Caenorhabditis elegans: one gene and its partners. The protein of the gene in region 4 interacts with the protein of the main gene of each other region in a pairwise test. Each region holds a gene or a part of one and is shown on either strand. Other genes may lie near its edges.

What was found.
Region 1: the proteins of ehn-3 (region 4) and lin-48 interact in a two-hybrid assay, tested with the Caenorhabditis elegans proteins (one large-scale study listed by BioGRID).
Region 2: the proteins of ehn-3 (region 4) and hda-11 interact in a two-hybrid assay, tested with the Caenorhabditis elegans proteins (one large-scale study listed by BioGRID).
Region 3: the proteins of ehn-3 (region 4) and let-391 interact in a two-hybrid assay, tested with the Caenorhabditis elegans proteins (one large-scale study listed by BioGRID).

The regions. Positions count from the first base shown.
Region 1 is NC_003281.10:3,743,580-3,748,322, forward strand, and holds lin-48 (Transcription factor ovo-like homolog lin-48), read left to right. Parts: upstream 1-1,858; 5' UTR 1,859-1,881; coding exon 1,882-1,953; intron 1,954-2,001; coding exon 2,002-2,082; intron 2,083-2,259; coding exon 2,260-2,343; intron 2,344-2,393; coding exon 2,394-2,709; intron 2,710-3,101; coding exon 3,102-3,226; intron 3,227-3,548; coding exon 3,549-3,713; 3' UTR 3,714-3,993; downstream 3,994-4,743. Other genes in the region: arcp-1 (ANK_REP_REGION domain-containing protein), read right to left, coding at 4,019-4,114, 4,702-4,743. UniProt on the Caenorhabditis elegans protein: Transcription factor. Involved in development of the hindgut, the male tail, and the excretory duct cell. Involved in modulating function of excretory duct cells. Plays a role in left/right patterning of cell fates in the hindgut.
Region 2 is NC_003283.11:10,523,933-10,529,009, reverse strand, and holds hda-11 (Histone deacetylase 11), read right to left. Parts: upstream 2,827-5,077; 5' UTR 2,701-2,826; coding exon 2,690-2,700; intron 2,622-2,689; coding exon 2,397-2,621; intron 2,200-2,396; coding exon 2,089-2,199; intron 2,043-2,088; coding exon 1,951-2,042; intron 1,885-1,950; coding exon 1,772-1,884; intron 1,216-1,771; coding exon 1,061-1,215; intron 1,013-1,060; coding exon 874-1,012; intron 773-873; coding exon 614-772; 3' UTR 566-613; downstream 1-565. Other genes in the region: F25D1.3 (Interleukin-17), read right to left, coding at 115-246; xpo-7 (Exportin-7), read left to right, coding at 3,140-3,154, 3,201-3,338, 3,388-4,215, 4,266-4,727, 4,777-5,077.
Region 3 is NC_003279.8:6,036,734-6,042,073, reverse strand, and holds let-391 (C2H2-type domain-containing protein), read right to left. Parts: upstream 3,672-5,340; 5' UTR 3,644-3,671; coding exon 3,617-3,643; intron 3,538-3,616; coding exon 3,425-3,537; intron 3,380-3,424; coding exon 3,301-3,379; intron 3,251-3,300; coding exon 3,050-3,250; intron 2,956-3,049; coding exon 2,837-2,955; intron 2,533-2,836; coding exon 2,220-2,532; intron 1,809-2,219; coding exon 1,610-1,808; intron 1,410-1,609; coding exon 1,099-1,409; 3' UTR 807-1,098; downstream 1-806. Other genes in the region: szy-5 (C2H2-type domain-containing protein), read right to left, coding at 1-400; C27A12.4 (C2H2-type domain-containing protein), read right to left, coding at 4,593-5,340.
Region 4 is NC_003282.8:5,416,101-5,421,128, forward strand, and holds ehn-3 (Zinc finger protein ehn-3), read right to left. Parts: upstream 3,123-5,028; 5' UTR 3,096-3,122; coding exon 3,054-3,095; intron 2,822-3,053; coding exon 2,732-2,821; intron 2,363-2,731; exon of another isoform or gene 2,342-2,362; intron 2,069-2,341; exon of another isoform or gene 2,048-2,068; intron 1,955-2,047; coding exon 1,730-1,954; intron 1,387-1,729; exon of another isoform or gene 1,366-1,386; intron 1,336-1,365; coding exon 1,207-1,335; intron 1,159-1,206; coding exon 1,021-1,158; intron 971-1,020; coding exon 806-970; 3' UTR 599-805; downstream 1-598. UniProt on the Caenorhabditis elegans protein: Together with the zinc finger protein ztf-16, plays a role in gonadogenesis, specifically in somatic gonad precursor cell development. This is possibly by regulating tra-1 gene expression.

The DNA of each region.
Region 1 (4,743 bases), on a different chromosome or scaffold from region 4:
ACCCTTATCACTTTTTTCCTGATAGATATCAAAAACGACTTTTATGACACTTTTCTCCCGTTACTTGTTAATTAATTTGATATATCGCTGGTATTTGAATTCAGTTTTTTGAACTTTATATTAAATTTGGAAATTTTTAATTGCCGGTAAAAGAGAGTACGGTAGTTGGAAAGTTTTTTTTTCGCTCGTGCCAGGACCCATGGCCGTAATTTTAGGAGAAAAATCACAAAAAGATTGAGAAAACTAGGCCACTCATTAAAAATAAGAATTTTAAGATTTACTGTAACTTAATTTAGTTTTTCTCGCAAAAATATGATAGCCACATTTTTGAGTTCATCGAAAGTTTCAGAGTATCATCTAAATTCCAAGAAAAAACCACTTCGGCACAGTAATACCTGCCTGCATCTAAGACAACCTTCGCCTGCCTTGTGCCTGAATACGTGCCTATTGCCTACCTTGCCTGCTCAGATACATAATGCCAAAGTTCATTCCAACAAGAAGAAGGCGCTAGGCGGCGGCTTGTAGGCATGTAGGCATGTAGACAGGAAAACGCGCCTTTGGAACTTGTTTTCTTTTTTTTTCAGTTTTTTTTTTTGAAAGTTCGTTCTCAAAAAAAAAGCAGAAAAAGAAGAAAACTTCGAAACCCCTTCCCTGAACGATTACGCAATAATCCCCCTCTCTTCCTTTTTCAAAACGGTCTTCATGTCTGCCTACCGTAATCCTCTTGTAGTCACGGCCAACCTGCCTTCTAATCGCCACAAGCTCATCCGTTGCTAAACGTTCCCCCATCTTGGCATTGGGCAACTGTTTCTTCTTCTGGTGCCATACACAATTGTTTTGTTGTTCCTCTCTTTCCAATTGATGCTTCTTCTTCTTCTCTCTAGAAACCGCTTCTCAAGTGCGCCAAGTGCTCATCCGTTTCACCAACACACAAAAGGGAAGAAGGGGGAACTGTAACCGTCTACTAGTTGCCTAATATACTTGTGTCATATATCCTTACAATTATATTAATATATCTACATGTAAGAAGAAGTTTCATGTCCCTTCTTGCATCATTTTTATATTTTCTGGCAATTTGCAGAAATTATTTTGGGGGATTTTTAAAAATTTTCAACAAAAATAAAAATAGTTTTTCAAGTGAACCAAATATTTATCTATGTTTCTAGCTCAAATTTTGAAACAATTCGATTAGGTAATTTTTCTCTCAGATATTTCAGTTTTCCAGCCAAAAACTGAAGATTTTTCTGTCTTACTGAAATTTCCTGTTATAAATGCAACTTTTTCAAAACTATATGCACAAAAAACACAAAAAAATATTTAAAAAAATACAAAATATTTTTTTCGGATTTTTTTTATTGTTGAACTAAAAATGGTTTTGGGAGAGTTTCGTGAAAATTACCCAACTTTTTTTTGTGGTTTAGGTCTAGGCTTAGACTTAAGCTTAGGCTTAAGATTAGGCTCAAGCTAGGGCTTAGGCTCAGGCTTTGCTTTAGGCTCAGTCTTCCAGCGTAGGCTTCAGCTTAGGCATAAGCTTTGGCTTAAGCCTAGGCTTCGGCTTGTGGGAACGCTCAATAGTTTTGTGTACCTCTCCCCTAAACCATCCCAGAAAAATCCTAAATTTCACTTTCGGTTTCATGATTATCCTCTCCCTACCGTGATTTTGTGCTCTCGGAGCCAACACCTCCATATTCCAATTATTCCCGACATCCGAGACATTGTACCTATTATTATCTGGCGCCGAGTATTTGAAATAATTGCCGGATTGGATTTCTTCGGTGATAACACACCCCGCCCCGACTCGGACGCTTCCGCTTGTTGTTCCTTGTTTGGAAAAAATTCCACAAAATCATCACAAAAATTTTCAGCTCTGCTCAATTTCAGATGGATTCACGGGTATGGCTGCCGCTGATTGGAGCGCATTTGCTGCCTCGAGACATTAGTGTTATTACTCAGGTATTTGAGTCTTGATTTCAAAAAAAAAACTTGAAAGTGTGAATTCAGATGATTGCAAATAATAATAATACATCAATTTCGAGAAGTAGCACCAATAGCAGCAAACCCGAAGAGAAGAATTCGAAAAAGGTAGGAATGGAAAGTTGGTGGCCTAGAAAATTAGAAATCTCGGCCATCTTGAAATTTTTATCTAATATTTTTTGTTCTGAAACCGCCTGAAATTATCTTTTTCGTTTTGAACCGCGTAGCCTAGATAGACACATTGGCAGGCACAATACTTATCTACGATGAAAGGAACATTTTCAGTTTCTCATTGAACGATTTCTCGATGATGATCCTTCACCACCAGCATCGATTCTTTCGCCATCACCCAAGGCAGCCATACCCAGTGTAAGACGCTAATCAAGGAAAATTCTAAATTTTTTTTTTCTGATTTTCAGCCAATTATAAATCCAGCAGTGGAGTTTGTAAACGGAGGCTACGGAGTCAAAAACCCCCTGGCTCCGTTGATCAGCTCCTTCGAAACCACCTCAATTCCGTGTTCAACAGTATCTCCTTCATCCCTCATCTCCTCCAGCAAAGACGAGTTCCAAGATTCATTAACCTGTCACATTTGCGGCAAAAAGTTCGGTTTACAACGTCTTCTGAACCGTCACATAAAGTGTCATAGTGACCTGAAACGGTATCTATGCACATTTTGTGGAAAGGGTTTCAACGATACATTCGACTTAAAAAGGCATACCAGAACACATACAGGTACCTCTCAACACTTTAAAGTACTCCTCTACCTCTGCCACCAATTCATAACCACTAATTTGTCGTTCTTCTTACCCTCCGTTGACTTACGGTTGGAAGACAATTGTCTGCGTCTGTTTGTCTAGCACACTGCTTTTTTGTGGGGTGTCATTGAATCCATTGTAGCGAAGCGTAATATTCCACACATTTTCACCGCAAATTGTCGACGATTCTAACTTGATTTACGGTGGAAAATCAAGGGGACCACATTAAAATTGAAACCGACAACACGTTCTGCTCATTTTAATGTATTTCTAAAAAGTTATTTGAATAGAAAATTGTTTAATAATAAATTCAAAAATAAGCAGACAAAGGCAGGCGTGCCTATCTACCTATGACCTTCTGTATTCCAGGCGTCCGTCCCTACAAATGTGAGCAATGCGAGAAGTCGTTCACTCAACGATGCTCCTTGGAATCCCATTTACGGAAAGTTCACGGTGTCACTCATCAATATGCCTACAAAGAGCGTCGTAGTAAGGTGAGTTGACAGAAAGGTATGCATGTCTGCCTACGCCTGCGTGCCTACTCTCAAAGTAGACTCAAACAATAGACAAAATAGAAATAGAAAATAGGCATGTAGGCATGTAGACATGTAGGCATGTAGACATGTAGGCATGTAGGCATGAAGGTACGTAGGCATGTAGGCATGTAGGCATGTAGGCATGTAGGCATGTAGGCATGTAGGCATGTAGGCATGTAGGCATGTAGGCATGTAGGCATGTAGGCATGTAGGCATGTAGGCATCTAGGCATCTAGGCATCTAGGCACACACCGACCGACAATAACTTCTACATTTCCAGGTATTCGTCTGTGAAGATTGTGGTTATACGGACGAAAAGTTCGAAGTCTATCTATCTCACATCAAGGTAGTACACCCCTTCTCGGCCGCCTACCTTCGGTTTACACAGCTTCAGAAAAAGAACTCATCGATGAAACCCGAACAACTTTCCAAGATCTCCCTATAATACTCACCTTTTTTCCTATTTAATTTTTAATTTTTTTTAGAAATTAGCTATTTTCCAAAAATCCTCCAAATCATCGTCATTTCCCCATTTGTTGGTGATCCTTTTTGCACCCCCGTGACTGATTTATTAACCCCAATGACACTATTTTCTCTCCGTCCAAGACCCTTTTCACCCATTTCTGTCTTCTAGATGATTCCATGATGTATTTAACTTATACCAATGACAACAAATTTTCCCAAAAAATGACACATTTTATTGAAATAAAAAAGTTTCTCCTTTTTTTATTCTTAAAAAATGTGTTGAAATCAATGACTTCCATTGTGACGTGGAATTTCTACGACGTATTTTGAGAGCCACTCGGCAATAAATCCAATAGGGTCGGCAGGACGGCGAAGTAGAACCTGAAAAAAAATAAATGCTTAAAATTGCAGCGGACATTTAACGGGTTCAGCATAATCTCTGAAGCGTGCGCGCGAAGTGTCGGCCGCTTTACTAAAGCCTTATGATGTCGGCTGCCAAACACGTTTTCTAGTTGGCACTTAAAATTTGTCAGTTTCTCGAGTAGTCGACATCTCATGGTTTTGTTATAACCCTAATCCTTATTTCCCGCTAGTGAGGTGCCGGCAGTTATACTAAGATGTTTTGAAATTTTGCTGTCAATAAAAAAGAAAGCGGCCGACATCTCCCTGCTTCAAATCCTAGCCCTAACCCATGAAGAGTCGGCTGCTGTACATGAGTGCTGACTTAAAATTTACTGGCGGCCATAAAAATAGAAGCGCCCGACGTCGGCCGGTTATGCTGAACACCTAATGGCTGATCCGTGAGGAGTCGGCTGCTTTGAAAAGTGTCATTCGTACTGGCAAAGAACGTGAAAGCGGCCGACATATCCCGGGTCACCTCTAAATCGTCGGCTGCTATGGCCGACACAACTACGAAACACGGGTCCAGCCCGCGAAACGTCAGCCGCTACTAATTTTACAATACCTACCTCTGCCAGCGCTTTAGTCAAAACAGGCGCCACCGTCCTTGC
Region 2 (5,077 bases), on a different chromosome or scaffold from region 4:
CATTTTTCACGCATATTTACACACTTATTGAATAAATCTATGTAAAAATATCTAACAATATCCAGAACATGCTAGTGAAACTATTTACTCTCAATTAAAAAAACAAAAACTAACCAAACTAGGTGGTTCTTCACAATGTTTATCAGTCCATTTACCATTGACATGCCTTCGAACATTGTGTCGTTTTGCTGTCGTGCCTATCACTACTCCAAGAATTAAAATGAAAGCTGTACGGAAGCAAATCATGTCGCAATCGACAGAAGAATCAAATAAAAGATATAGGCGAGAAATGACTGTGTCTCTCTGTGTGACCCTTTACCCGATGATGACCTAGTGACATCCACATAAAGTGAAAATTTGGGAGGAGTCGAGGATTCATAAAAATTGAAAGTTTTAGGAAAAGTTCATATTCAGAGTACTTTGTATTATTTTGGATTGTTTTATTTTTAATGGAATCGGGTTGATATAGAATGTTTCAAAATCATCCATTCGATTTTAAAATGAAATTTTGAACTTGATCCTTCTATCTATTTAGTTTCCCCTGCCATTAAACAATAAAAAATAGTTTAATAAAAAATAATTTATAAGGAAAAGATATGCTGATATAACTTTTTTATTTGATACTGATGAGATTCTTTGACTGGAGATTTTCAATTGATTTTGCAATGAGAAGCGCGTTGTCCTTCTGATACCCTCCACTGGTTACCATGCAAATTGGAATTCCTTTTGATTTTGCTAGATTGAACACAACTTCGTCTCGAGCAATTATGCACTGAAAATTTGATTTTCAAAAAAATATGCAACATCTTATTTCAAAATAGACTATACACCAAATACCAAACTCGTATAACAATATTCCTTGCTTTCACACACCTGTGGACTCAATTTCATTGCTCCCAGAGGATCACCAAGTAGACAGTCTGTGCCAGCGTTGAACATAATGAAATCGAAACCAGGAGGAGTAGTTTTCTCTCTATCAATTAAACACTGTGCCAGTTGTTTGCGTAATTCGCTAAATAAAGTCGGTCAGTGAAAGCAGAAAGCCGCTATGAATACTTACGAGAGGTAGGAAGTATCAGTCGTATGACCATTTACATGAACCGCTCTGTTAATAAATTGACGAGCTTCACGATCATGTGGATAGACATATGGATTGAAAACATCAAATACAAACACATTCGGATTGTCAGCAAAGTCTCGTGCATGGCCATTTCCCTTAAAGTATGATTCAAGCAAAAAATTGGATTCTTAAATTTTAATAATTTTTTTAAACAATTAATATTGTGATTAATATTTCGAATTAATATCTAATATTTGAGAAATATCTTTACGGGCTAGACATATTTCATTCACGTTCCAAATGGTTTTCCAAAATGATACCGTAGTCTATAGAATTCTTAACGTAACTGTAAGGTAGCTAAAATTTGAGGACAATTCTAACTTTGAAAGCTCAGATATCGGCCATCTATGATTTTAGGCAAAATACTTCCTTCATGTGATGTCAGACTGTCTCATTGCGGTTTGATCTACAAAACATGCGGGACTTTTTCCCAGAAAAATTGTGACGTCAGCACGTTCTTAACCATTCCAAATCAAATGAGATGTCTGCGTCTCAACTCCCGCATTTTTCGAAGATCAAAGCGGAATGGGATTTTCTGACTACACGTGTTCCTTTGAGTTATATGCTGTCAAAGTTGAGCAGTGAAGGTGCCGCACGCATCAATAGAAAATATACGGTATTTTATATTCTTTCAAATGTTTTTTCCAGTACCTGATGAGCATCTAAATCTACAACAATCGCGTTGGCAATTGCCTTTTTGTCAAACAAATCGAAAATTGCCATGGTGATATCAGCGTAAAAACAGAATCCACCTCCGCCCGAATCTGAAATTATAGGCTGCTGTACAATCCCATAGCGTCTATTTTTCTTGCGGAATAACAAAAACATACGAGAAGCATGATGGAAACCACCACCCACGTTGATCGCCCAACCATGTTTTAGAGCCAAATTGGCAGCTAAAACTGTTCCACCGGCTTGTAAACTGGAAAACACAAATAAATGAATACAACAATTACTAGGAATGATACCGTAGTGGATGCAATAACTTGCTTTCAATAATGCACGGTGGAAGGCAACCGACAAATGGAATCTCGACGATTTGTGCTGCTTTAATAGGATTTCGAACACTTTTCAGATATCTAAAATAATATGAATAAATTTTTTTTATTAGTTGAAATTGTTGAACGCCTCATCTAACTTTTTTTTAGAATGTCAACTATAAACGTTATGAGCTTAATTATTTTCTTTCAATTTAAGTATGGGGCCATACAAACATGATTTTTTCATAAACCAATTCCACGATTCAATCACATTCACAACACTTTCATGTGCCTACTTTCTATCATGTACTCTAGTGAGTTCTTCAAATGTCGGTAGATTTGGCTCAACGAGTGTTTCATCAGTGATCAGATTCATTTCTTTCAAATGTGTAATGACTCTTCTCCATTTCGAAGAATCAAATGGATGTAAATGTTCGATTCCAAATGCAGTTACATTATATTCAGAATGATAGACAATTGGACGTTGATAACTTTTTAAACTAAAGATTTCATCTTTATCTCTGAAATTATTGATATTTTTGGCATTTCCAACTGCATGTTGTACTACAGATTAAATTTCAAAACTCACCGCTCTGCCATTCAAAATCTGCGTAGAATGAGTGGTTAGAGCGGATAAATAAAGAAGTAGTCGTAAAGATTCTGTTTTTCTTGTTTTTGTTATCAGAAAACAGATAACGAATTCTGAAAATAGTGGAAACTGCCAAAAGATGCCAATTGTGGCGAGAGAGCCTGTGGGATGTAGAGTAGGATGAGAAAGGATGGCCTAACTTTTTTATCGGCCATCCGCCGTGTACTTCACCAGGACAAGATGTTTCGTCTTTCAGAAACTCAAATCATCACCAAAGTTTGCAGTTTTTCGAAACAATTAACGGTGGGAAGACGCCGAATTAATTTTATCCGTTTTAAACATTCTTTTTGCTTTTCAAAACATTTTTCTCCTCTTTCTCAAGCTATAATTACTTCTGAATTGGATATTTTAGGAGTGAATCGCTGAACAGCGGATTCGAAGTCTTCAAAAATGGATGAATTACCGGTTAGCATTTTCAAAATTCTTAATGTGCATTCTAATCTTATTTTAGGTACTAAACAGTCTATGCAAAGATCTATATGAGAGTGTCGATCCGCAAGCCCGACACCGAGCCGAGAGTAACCTTGCGGAACTGTCAGAGTCACCCGAATGCCTTCAAAGATGCATGCTTCTCTTTGCACGAGGAGATGTAAGTCGAAATAATAAAAGTGTTAAACAATTTACATAATGATTTTCAGTACCCATACGGACCAATGGTAGCAAGCACCACACTAATGAAACTTCTCGGCGGAAAAACTAGCATCACTTCTGTTCAGAAGCTCGAGCTTGCAAAATATTTATTGGAAATGCTAGGTCAAGGTGCACCTCAATTTCCTCCATATCTCGTCACATCACTTTGCCAACTTTTTGCAAGACTCACGAAACAAGAATGGACGTATCAAAATCCCACAGAAAATCAAACAGAAGACACAAAAATTGAATATCCATTTCGTGATCCGGTTGATAGCCTTGTCAAAACAATCAACATGGATAATATCGAGGAAAGTATGCTGGCCGTGCAACTGTTAACCTTACTCGTTGCTGACATGAATTCAGCTTCGGGAATGGATTCAGTTAACAAACATCGCAAGAATCTTTCGCAGTTCAGGGACGATTTTTTATATGAGATTTTCTCGGTATCTCTGAATGTTTTGAACGATAATGTGGACAGAAATCTGAACGATCGCCAATTGGGTCTTCTTCACGCGGTTCTCAACTTGAATCTCCAATGTCTACTTTTTGATTATATAGGAAGTTTGACAGACGAAACAAGTGAAGACAACTGTAATGTGCAAATCCCAACAGCATGGAGAGCAAGTTTTACTGATGGAAAAATTGTACAGCTTATGTTCAAACTTTTAAATGTGCTTCCACAAGAATCAAGTGAAAAAGTGATGACAATAATAGCTCAATTGGCAAGTATTCGAAGAACGCTTTTCAATGGAACAGAGCGACAGGCTTACGTTCAAAAACTTGTTGAAGGAGTTGTCAGTGTAATTATGAACCCTGGGAAGCTTAGTGACCAGGTAAGAATAATGAAAAATTAAAGGCAAACATATTTATATACCTGATTTAGGCCGCATTCCACGAGTTTTGCCGTTTGATTGCTCGTCTGAAAACAAATTATCAGCTGTGCGAGCTCATCGCTGTTCCCTGCTACAGTCACATGCTAAGGTTACTCGCGGAATTCACTGTACAAAGCCTACGAATGATGGAGTTCTCAGCCAACAGTACATATTTTCTTATGACATTCTGGCAGAGAATGGTGACGTCTGTTCCATATGTTCGAAATAATGATGAGCATCTTCTCAACGTTTATTGTCCAGAAATCATGACAGCATTCGTCGAGAGTCGATTACAACACGTTGAGAGCATTGTCAGAGAAGGAGCTGAGAATCCATTAGATGATCAAGGAGCAACCCTTCAAGTTATGGAACATCTTGCGATTATATGTAGATGCGAATATGAAAACACATGTAAACTTCTCACTCAACACTTTGATCAAAATGCCAACATCTGGATGAATGGATCTGAAAATGTAAGACACTTAGTTGTTTTTTTTTGAAACTTATAATTTGTATTTACAGGATGCCAATACAGCGATTGCCGAAGGTCGTCTCGTTTGGTTGATTACATTGATCGGAACTGCTGTGTTCGGAAAGACGACAGCAACAAGCAGTGATGTTCACGATAAAATGGACGGAGAACTCATTGCCCGATGTATAACAGTTATGAGATTCAATGATAATCGGCTTCAGTTGTCAAATAATACAGTTCCACTGAAAGGAAATCTTCGACTGGAAGTTTCATTTATTCACATGCTTGAGCAATTCCGTCGTGCGTATATCATGGATCAAATCACTCGAGCCAGTGCAGTCTACGACACAC
Region 3 (5,340 bases), on a different chromosome or scaffold from region 4:
CCGTACAAAATGAACATTTGTATGGTTTTTCATGTGCATGTTGCTGCATATGAGTTTTTAATGTATGTGCTTGACTGAAACTTATATTGCAAATTGAACAAACATTTGGCTTCTCTCCAGTATGTTTTCGAATGTGTTCAGTTATTTTTGATGGATATTTTATGTGCTTATTGCATTGAACACAATGATATATTTGTGCCGGTGGTCGTTTTTTCATTCGATAACTTCGATTTGTTGGATCATTTCGACGATAAAGACATTCGGGACGACTTGGAAGAATTTCGACGGATTCGTTGAATTGTTCATATGTAAATGTGGGAATTCGAGTAGTTGGTTGAAAAACTCTAATATTTGGAATTCGAGGACGAGGTAGTTGAGGTTTTACACAAGATTCTGCCATTTCTGAAAATATCGATTTTTATTTTTCGACGTTAATTTTTTATGGGCCTTCCTGGACCTTTAGAAAGTTTTTAGCAAATTAAAAAAGGTATATCTAAAAAAATTTGTTTTGGATTTTGTGAAATTTGAAAAAAACAATTAATTGGTTTTTTACATTCTAAACCCTTTTAAAACATTTTATAGAAAATTGGGCTCAAAAAAAAAGTACCGCTACATTTTTTCGAACTGCTCAAAAATAGCTTGCTGAAAGTTTGAAAATGTTAAAAAAAATTTCAAAATCTCATCTTTTCAATTTTTGCGAAAGGAGAAAGTTTCAAAATATATTGGCAAACAATAAAAAAAAAGCAAGTATAATTAAACAGTAAAAATACTGAATACGGAAAAGAAAAAAAATTTGAAAAATCTGAGAAAAAAAATCTTTATTAAAAAAAGAAGCAAAAAGAAACTCGTAGGTTAACCAAAATAAACTGAAAATTGTGAGAATTAATTCTCACAATTTTTCTAGAATTTGAATGAAAAAAATGGTTAAAAAATGCAAAATTTAATAGTGGCCTAGAAATTTGAAATTTGAATAACTCTTCCATTTTAAAAACTAATTGCTGGGTGGAATAGAAAACTGAATATATGAAGTAGAAAATGCTAGTTACCCTATAAGTTGCCTAGATATTGGAAAATGAAAGAGCTTTTTCAAGTTTCTGGTCAAAAATGAACAGTTTTTTGATCTTCCATGCTTCCTCCTTGCTCCACAAATTCCTCTTCATCATCTTCAAAATGAGCCAAGATCTTGACGTCATCACCATCACCAGTGAGCATTATAATCTGATTGTTCTGTTCATGATCATCTTCATAAACAATAACTGAATCCTGTGATTCCTCGTGATTCACTTGAACATGATCGAAAATTGGTGTGAAGAGCTCGGGATGTGCATTTTTTCGATGTCTCATGAGATATACACGACGAGCAAATACTGCATTACATCCTTTTACAACGCATGTGTAACGTTTTATACCTGGAATGTTTCAAAAATTGTAATTTTTGTAGATGACTACTCTTTTAAATATTTTTGAGTTAACATATTTTCAATAACACTCTTAATTTGAGAAAATTCTAAAATTTGCAACAAAAAAAAATGGAAATTGCTTTCTTTTTCTAAATTACCCCCGGTTTTAACCCAAATTTCGGATAGTAAAATATATTTTGAATATTTACCAGTGTGTACAGTCATTTCATGTTCTTTTCTAACAGAATCCGTTACAAAAGACAATCCACATCTCCAAGTACATTCAAATGGACGTTCTCCAGTATGCATTCGACGAATATGTACTTTTAAAGAGCTCGCTTTTGACAATGACAAGCCACATTCTCCACATTCAAATGGTTTTTCGCCTGTGTGTGTTCGGATATGATCCTGAAAAATGGGAAAGAAATTTGTATTTAAAAATAAATTTATCTTTCTTTTTTTTATTAAAAATTGTAATTTTTGATTTCAAAGTTTAGAAAATTCAACAATTTTCGATATAATAAATCATATTATATTTTTCTAGAAATTTCAGAACTTGAGAGGTTTATAAATAGAGAGAAAATTGGAAATTTTGTTTTTTAACACATTTAAACCTATAAGCTTTGATTTAAAAAATTTTAATTACAAATATTTTTTTCTGTTTGCTCAGAAAATCAAGTTTCGAATGCTTTTTATCGAAAAAATTGTTTCTCTGTCCAATTCTCAATTTTTCAGCAAAAATTCAGCTTGTGGGCACTGAAATAATTTTAATTTTTCATTTTTCACCAAAATTCGTTTTTTATCGAAAAAAAAACTAACAGCAATTTTGCTCGGATGTTTAAGCATTAATCCACAAATATTGCATTGTGCAAGTGTTGCTCTTCGATTTGAAATATATGCTCTTTTCTGAGGAGCTTTTTCTGGTTCTTCGATCGGAATTTCTTCATCAATCGGAGCCAAAACTCGAGCCAATACTGTATTAATAACGTCATCAATTCGAGCATTAGATATTGCAGCTTTTTCCATTTCTTTTTCTGATGGATATATAGATTGTTTTGTTGTTTGATTTGATGATTGAAATTGAGAAGGTGAAGAGGAAGAAGTTGATGGATCACTTTGAAATATTGAGTCTCTGCAAAGTTATTTTAATTTCTTTTAAATTTACCAATTCGGAAATAAGATGGAAGTTTTCGAATTTAGAAATTTTCAGGAGTTTTATTTAAATTATCAAAGTTTTTTATTAATTAAAACACCGATTTTTTAAATGTTGTTTTAAAATTTGTTAAAGAACAAAAAGTGTTAAAATCTCAATTTTAAAGATTGCTGATTAAACACCGCAATTCACTTTTTAAAAAATGTAAAATCTTATAATTCTTGTTTTTTGTTGTAATTTTTATTTATTTTATCAAGTTTAGTTCACTTCTGCATATACTTACATCGTTGGTGGTGATATATAATTAGCTAGTGCAGAATTTGAAAGTATATCCATATCCATTGATGGACAAACAATCTTTTTAACTGGTTTCAGATAAGGCCGTGCCGGTCCTGCTCGCTTCTGCAAAAAATATATCTTATTCCGGTAATCTTTTAGGATATAAATGCTTGATTCGATGTTTTAAATTTTTCTATAGCATAAAAACTTTTCTTACCAATCCATTATGGCTTAATTCGTGTGCAGTTCTGCGTGAATTATTCACAAATCGTTTGCCACAACCGAAATTACACAGAAATGGGAGATCACCCATGTGTTGAACACGAAAATGGTTAATCATTGGAGTTCTTTGAGTGAATCTCATTCCACAAATGTCACATTCGTATGGTTTTTCGCCTGTGTGAGTTCTCATGTGTTCCTGAACAAATAAAAATCTTCATTTTGTTATAAAAATAAAATATTCTGTACCATAATCCTCGATGGATATTTCAACGCAACTCCACATACTTCGCACGTCGTCACCGTCGGCAACTTTTGATTTCCTTTCCTTCAATTTTATATTTAATAAATTTTTAGCACAAAAATTTCATACTTTTTTCTGTATGTCGAATCTGGAATCTTGACAATCTCCTCGAGCTCTTCGTGCTCTTTTTGCGCGTCGGGAGTGCACTCAGCTGCCCATTCCTCGAAAATTGCATCGGAATTCTGAAAATTTTTGATTTTCTTAATGAAAATTGGAAAACTAAATTGAAATTAGTTATTTTACTTGCGATAAATGTACTACTTCGTCTAAATCCTCGTTATTCTTCATTTTGGTTGTTTATCGAATTTTAGGATCTGGAAAAATACACAATTAATGGCAATAAGGAAGATTTAATCATATAAACATAAAAATTTTAAAGATTAATAATATTTATATGAAAGGAAAAATTCAACAAAAACTGTTTTAAATAGAAGAAAAAGTCAAATATTGATTTTTTGCGAATAAAAAATAAAATTGAAAATAAACAACGACACTCCGATATCCCGTCTTCGAAAGAGCGCGAAATTTGAATTGAGGGTTTAATAAATATAATTCTTTGCAACGGCTGAAATCTTGTTTCTTAACGAGACAGAAGAAGAAGTAATGAATAGATCATTGCCATCACATCTTCATTTCCATTCAAATATTGGAGTTTAATCTTTAAATTGATAAAAGCCGTTCGGATAACATACGAGTAGAAAATGTTCATAGTGAAACAGCAGCACGTTGATCATGCAAATTCATAAGGAAATCAGGAAGTTTTACGAGTCTAAGAAATAGGCGAATGTTTTGTGTTGTGTATTGAGCGTTAGACAAGGAGATTTACGTAGATAGAATATTTTACTTTTAACGTAGATAGAATATTTATTATGAACATACGAGAAGGAATGTGAATAAAGGCTCAATACTCGAGAAATCGAAGAAAAAGAAATTGAGATGCAACATGGAATTTAATAACGATCTCCGTGATGGCGTGAGCGATCTCTTGAATAATCCCGCTTTCTTCTTCTATAGTCACGACGATGGTGATGCTCTGAACGTCTGGGGGTCCACTCATCTGTCGAGGGGCTTCGGCGACCACGCTGTGAAATTTACAGATAGATTTAGTTGGTTTTTTCGCATGATCGAGGAATAAACTAGGTCATTTTGCAAATTACTCACCCTCTGGTTTCTCAATGGCGATTTCGGTGTATGTTCCCTGTTACGTGGCTGGTGTCCTGCTCCACGTCCCCGTTGATTAGATGGAGACATCGGCGATCGCCTTGAGGGGCCCTCCTCCCGCTGCTCGGAGACGTCTGAAATGTTTGAAATCGAAACGATGGTCTGGGACCGCTTTGCTTCCGGAGAGATGAGGTTCCGGAATCAGCTTGTCCACAGCTAGAGTTGACAATGGTGCACCGAAAGACGAAGAACTCGCCCTATTCCCAAAAAAGTTCCCAAAAGCTGGCTGGGCCAAGCGAGGAGTGGAAGGACCTGTAAAGTCGAAGCTGCCTTCTCCAGATCTTTCCTCGACGGCTGGGATTGATGACCCGGAGACCGCACGATCGGAGAGGAATCCTAGACGTGCTGGTGCAGATGAATCTTCTGGCGCCTTTCCACGTGAGCTGGTAGGAACAACATTCTCTAACCGTGACATAGTCACAGTCTTGATGAACTGAACATCAGGAGATGAGGAGCCATCTCTCTGAGGCCCTCTGGAGTCTTTTGGGAGCTGGCGTACTTCGCAAAAACCCATATTTGGTGCAGGGCTCCTTGTAGTAACCTCTTCTTTAATTGGAAGAGCTGATGTGGAAGAACTGTTGAGCTCTACATCGATTTCCGGAACCTGGTGGCTGTAGGATGTTTTCTTCCTCGAGATCTGATTGAAACACGGAAGATCATCATAAGCAGGAGTTCCTCCAGTCCTCCGAGTGTTGTGGGCATAATTGGAGGAAGTCCTATGCTTATGGTATTCTTCCTTCGATATAACCATAAGAAATACGTTC
Region 4 (5,028 bases):
AACGAAAATGATGAACAAAGGGTTTGGAGACAATCGAATCGTGCTTAAGATCACTTTTTTCATGTCTCAGATGGGATATTAGCTTGAGAATTTTGAGAATTTTTTTGTTGATATTTTTATAAAAGAGGCAAAATTGTGAATAATATTTCAAGAGCAAAACTCTATAAATACATCAAACTTTAGAAAACTGTAAAATACTTTTTTCTTAATTTGTTTTATTATTAATGTTGGAGATGTAATAAAGTTTTCAATAAATCTCGGAAATTCAAAGTGTTATCACTCCTAGAGATGACTTTTTTAATTGGACACTTTGTGAAAATTATCTTCAGAGGAGCATTTTATACTAGAAAAATTGATCTCGCCGTTTTTTTTTAATTAGGCTTTTAAAATGCGAAAATCTTCATTGTCCTAAAATCAGGAGTAATGTTTTAAAATCTGTTGGTAGAAATTTGAAATTTCTTAATCTAAAACTCTTGGCATTTCCTCCTTAAAACTGCTCTCCTGAAGATAAAAATAATCAGCATAACTTTTGCAAAATTCGCATATCAATAATTTTTAGTAAATCTTTTGAAGTTTTCAGAAATAAAATCAACTACCATAATTGAGAAAATCATATTTCTAACTTTCAAATATATAAAACAATTAACAGAAACAAATGTAACAATTAATTCACACAAGAACAGAGTTAAGTATTTTAAAACATCCCAACAGAAGATGAGGAACATTATTGATAAGATTGATGCTGGTACTTAACAATAAATTGAACCATGCTATAACTTTGAAAAAGAATCGACATTTTTATATTTTAGAAGTTATGATTGGCGTAAACGAGATGAGCAGCAAAATCATATTTTCCATCGCATAGGCTTCCACAAAGTGAGCATTTGAACGGAATATCATCTGAGTGGAGTCCACTGTGCAAATACCACATCACTTTGTCATCGAATCTGATTTTACAGTAATCGCAGTACTGAAATAATTGTTTTTTTACAAAATACGTTTTTTCCCAGAGGTACATACCCAGCTCTCTGGACCATCCAACTCTTCTTCTTCGGGAGTTTCGATTTCCGTAGATGGTGTTGGAGACAACTCTTTTGCGGATTTTACAGATCTAGAGCACTGTGGCAATGGGGCTTGTGAAACAGTGCTATGAAGCGGCTGAAAATATTATGTTACCAGTTGAAAATTCAATTTCAAATTTCTTACAAAGAGTGGTGCGATTTCAGTTTTGAAAAAGTCAAAGATTCTATCAAAATCATCTGGATTCTTGATGGGGTTCAAGATTGAAGTAGTGGATTTTGGAAGAATTGGAGCAGGTTTGAAAGAGAAGAATTTCTGAAAACTAAGGAGATTTATATATATCTACCAAAATCCAATCTATACATAGTGCACGTCTGACTTTAGTAGAGATTTTGTAGAAATAGCGAAAAAGTATTTTGAAATTCAATTCAATTATGTGGAGAAGTTCGAGTATAGTGAATTCTATTTTAGATCAATTTTTCTAATGTTTTGAAGCTTTCAAGTATTTTCGATTGCAAGACCCAACGGTTTTCAAAATTTTACTTTTAGTCTCAAATGAAAAGTTTAGTCAACATTCGGCAAGAATCGGATCAAACGTAGGCTAAACTTAACACATCACAGCTATAACCTACTCGTAAGCAAGTAGCTGATGTAAAATCCAAATAAAAACAGTGTGTGCTTCAATTCTTCCACAGAAAAAAGTACTCACCGTATGATCCAGGTGTGCAGTATGAAAATGAAGCAGAAGACGATGGGAACTGTTGAACCATTTGATGCAAGATTTACATTTAGCTGGAGACGATCCTCTTATGATATGCTCCGAATCTACATGAAACTGCAAACTCGTGAAGCTGTTGAACTTTGAATTGCACGCTGTGATGGGACATTCAAAGGTATTTCCTTTCTTGATATGGGTCATCATGTGCTCTTTCATCTGAGTTGGATTAAAAGTTGAAGAGATTGTTTTCTAATCTGTTTAATGTTTCAAGAAATAATGCTTAATGCTTTATACTACTAGAAAGCTCGATCTTTCTCAAAGTATATTTGAAAATACAACTTTTCTTGCATAACTGAAACTTTCATATAAAAAACTGATGGTCAGATCTGGAAAAAGTAAACGACTTTTAACAATCTTAACTTTGTTTTCAATAAAAATATTTAAAACAAAGCTTTTAAATTTTCTCTAGCTAACAGTAAATTAAAGCCAACGTATCAGTACACATCCACAGAAAAATAATTCCCCTACATCATTTGGCATGCTGGGTGCTAATTCTCTTTTAATTTTTTAGTGCTTTGGCATTAAACATTTATTTTTGAACAGATTCGCAAATCACAGATACCAGTAATCGTAAATTGCATTCAGTGATTATTAAAAACATCATGAAACACATAATTAAAATTTTTGTGTCAATTTCTGAAAATCAATAACACAGATTGTTTCATTCTGCTTTAAATCTGATGTACGAGTGATAAATTGAGTCAACTTTTAGGAAGCTTTTTTCTAGCATTTTTTTTAACGTTTCGACAAAAAAATCGAGTTATTTGTAAGCGTTTGGAATAATTTCAAGTAATTAACTTTCGTAAAGTAGGTTACTTAGTGAATTTTTTTGGTCACTAGAGATAAAGCTTGTACTAAAACGACTAAACTTTATAAAGAAACTTCAATAAAATATCCTCTATACAAATTTATCGGAAAACCACAAGAACTAACCCGATCATTCCGAAAAAAAGGTCTTCTGCAGAACTGACATTCAAACTTCTTTTTTCCACTGTGCATCACCTTATGACGATTCAAGTTTGTCTGAAAAAATATACATGGAAATCAAAATTTTTCTACGATTTTAGTAACTTGTTTTTTGTTGCTTTTCGATTTGAACAATGTTGTAAATTGATAATTAAAAAGAAATTTTCTAAAGATTTGAGTCTTGCGTCTCAGTTTTTCAAGAGCCAAACAAGAAAGTAGTTTACGAAACCATAAGTAACCTGGTAGGCACTTTAGTTTCTACCTATAACCTTTAGTACTCTCCACTCACCTTATTGGAAAACTTCTGGTGACAAATATCGCATTTTTCCATTTTGTAATTTGGAAGCTGGGAGGAATAAAGTCAGAGAGTGTCAGAAAGTGACTATAGGATTTTCTATTCCAAACTTTGGGTGGAGCACAAATTGTTTATAACTTCTCGGGTACTGTCGAAGGTCATTTGGGGGAAATATACAATCCTAGGTGTCAGATATCTTAACAAGTCGGAGAAGAAGCACATCTTCCGACATAACAGATAAGCCGGCTGCCGCTACTTGCCAGATGGTTGGTGACAAACTGGGGTGATATATAGTCAGAGGTCACTTTCATGATTTGGAAGAGAAGGTAGCAAATATAGTGGACAAATTGATATTAAATTACAATTGGGGTCAATTTTAAGAACAGTTACAGTACTTTGGACTGTACGAGTAAAAAAATCCTTTTTTTTTTTTAGAATTAAATTTCCTGTTTCATAGAAAACATTTGTTTGACTGATTTTAAATGTTTCATTCGGTTTTTATTTATCTCTGTAAAGTCTTTTCATTATTGTTAGAATTCAGAATTTTTACAGATTCATGAATTCACTAAAATTTTATGAGTTTCAGGATTTGTTAGTTTCAACAATAGAATCCCCCATCTCCTGCAAAACCGCAAATCACGTGGCGAAAAAAAGCGTTTTGTTCATAGCGTAATGCTCTTCCTTCTTCCTAATACATTAACCATGGCACAAATCGAATAAATTAGCATAATGTGTCCAGGAAGAAGACGACATTGGAAGACGTTTCTGGAGAAAAAGGGAAAAAAGGAAATCAAGTTTTTTCTCTTTTACCTTGGATGTCTGTAATATAGGATTACATGCCGGAAGAAGGTGAAGAGTGCAAAAATATTAGTTTTTAATGGAAAATGCTTTCGATTTTAATGTCAGGAATCGAAGATTCTCCGTGATAAACTTCTGGAAATAATATTTATATTTTTAGTTATCGGCTTTTTGGTGTATGAGATCTGATTTATTCAGTATCCAAAGATAGCTGGAGAGGTCTTACTCAAGAAAATGTTTTCATTTATTTTCAAAAAAATATCACTGTTTCAACAAACCCTTAAAATCAAGCTATAAAAGGCAGAAATGTTTTCAATCGAGATAAATAGGCTCTGATATTTTTTCAGATCTGAAAAATAACTATGAGTTTGATGGAAAGAATGAATGCCATTTTTCAAATTGAACACGTTTCAAATAGTCCATAAAACAGTTAACAATTAATTAATTTTAATCGGGATCATGCTCGACCTCTAAACGTATTATTTCCAAAATTATCCGGTGAAGATTTAGATAAAATATTTAAAAATCCGTCACATTTTTTTCGCATTTTCCGAAAATTTCACAGTTTCAACATAGCTAGAAATTAAATGTATTTTAAATTCAAACTGATTGCAACGGAATTTTAAATGTGAAATATTCAAATGTTTTTAACGTCCAACAAAACCACTGTTTCCTCTGTTTACAGTTTCTAAAGTAGTCCAAAAACCGAAAAATGAAAAAGTTTTGATTTTATTCTCTACTTATTTTTTTGCTATTTTTCATCTTGTACCTTCTACATCATCACTAATTCTGTCTAATGCTCTTGTTGCTCTTCTTCTTCCTCTGCTCATGTTGTTACTTTTTCCTAATTCCCAGCTTTTTTCTCTCTGCTTACCAGTCTAAATAATAAAAATGAGAAATCATAAATACTAAGTTGAAACAAGATACTGCAAAAGTGATATGAAATTAGTTTTAGTGATGTAAATCTTTAACTGTTTCAATATCCTTGTAACTACAGTATACTATAGTATTGATAGTTTTGATAGACTTCCTTAACGCTAGGGCATATTTATGTTTAGTGGTTCTTCAAACAAAAAAAACGTCGCGGGTAGAATATTGACTTTCTTCTCCAAATCTTTCAAATATTTTTAAAATTTGACTTTAACGATTTGAGCCGCCTATTTCACAGCAG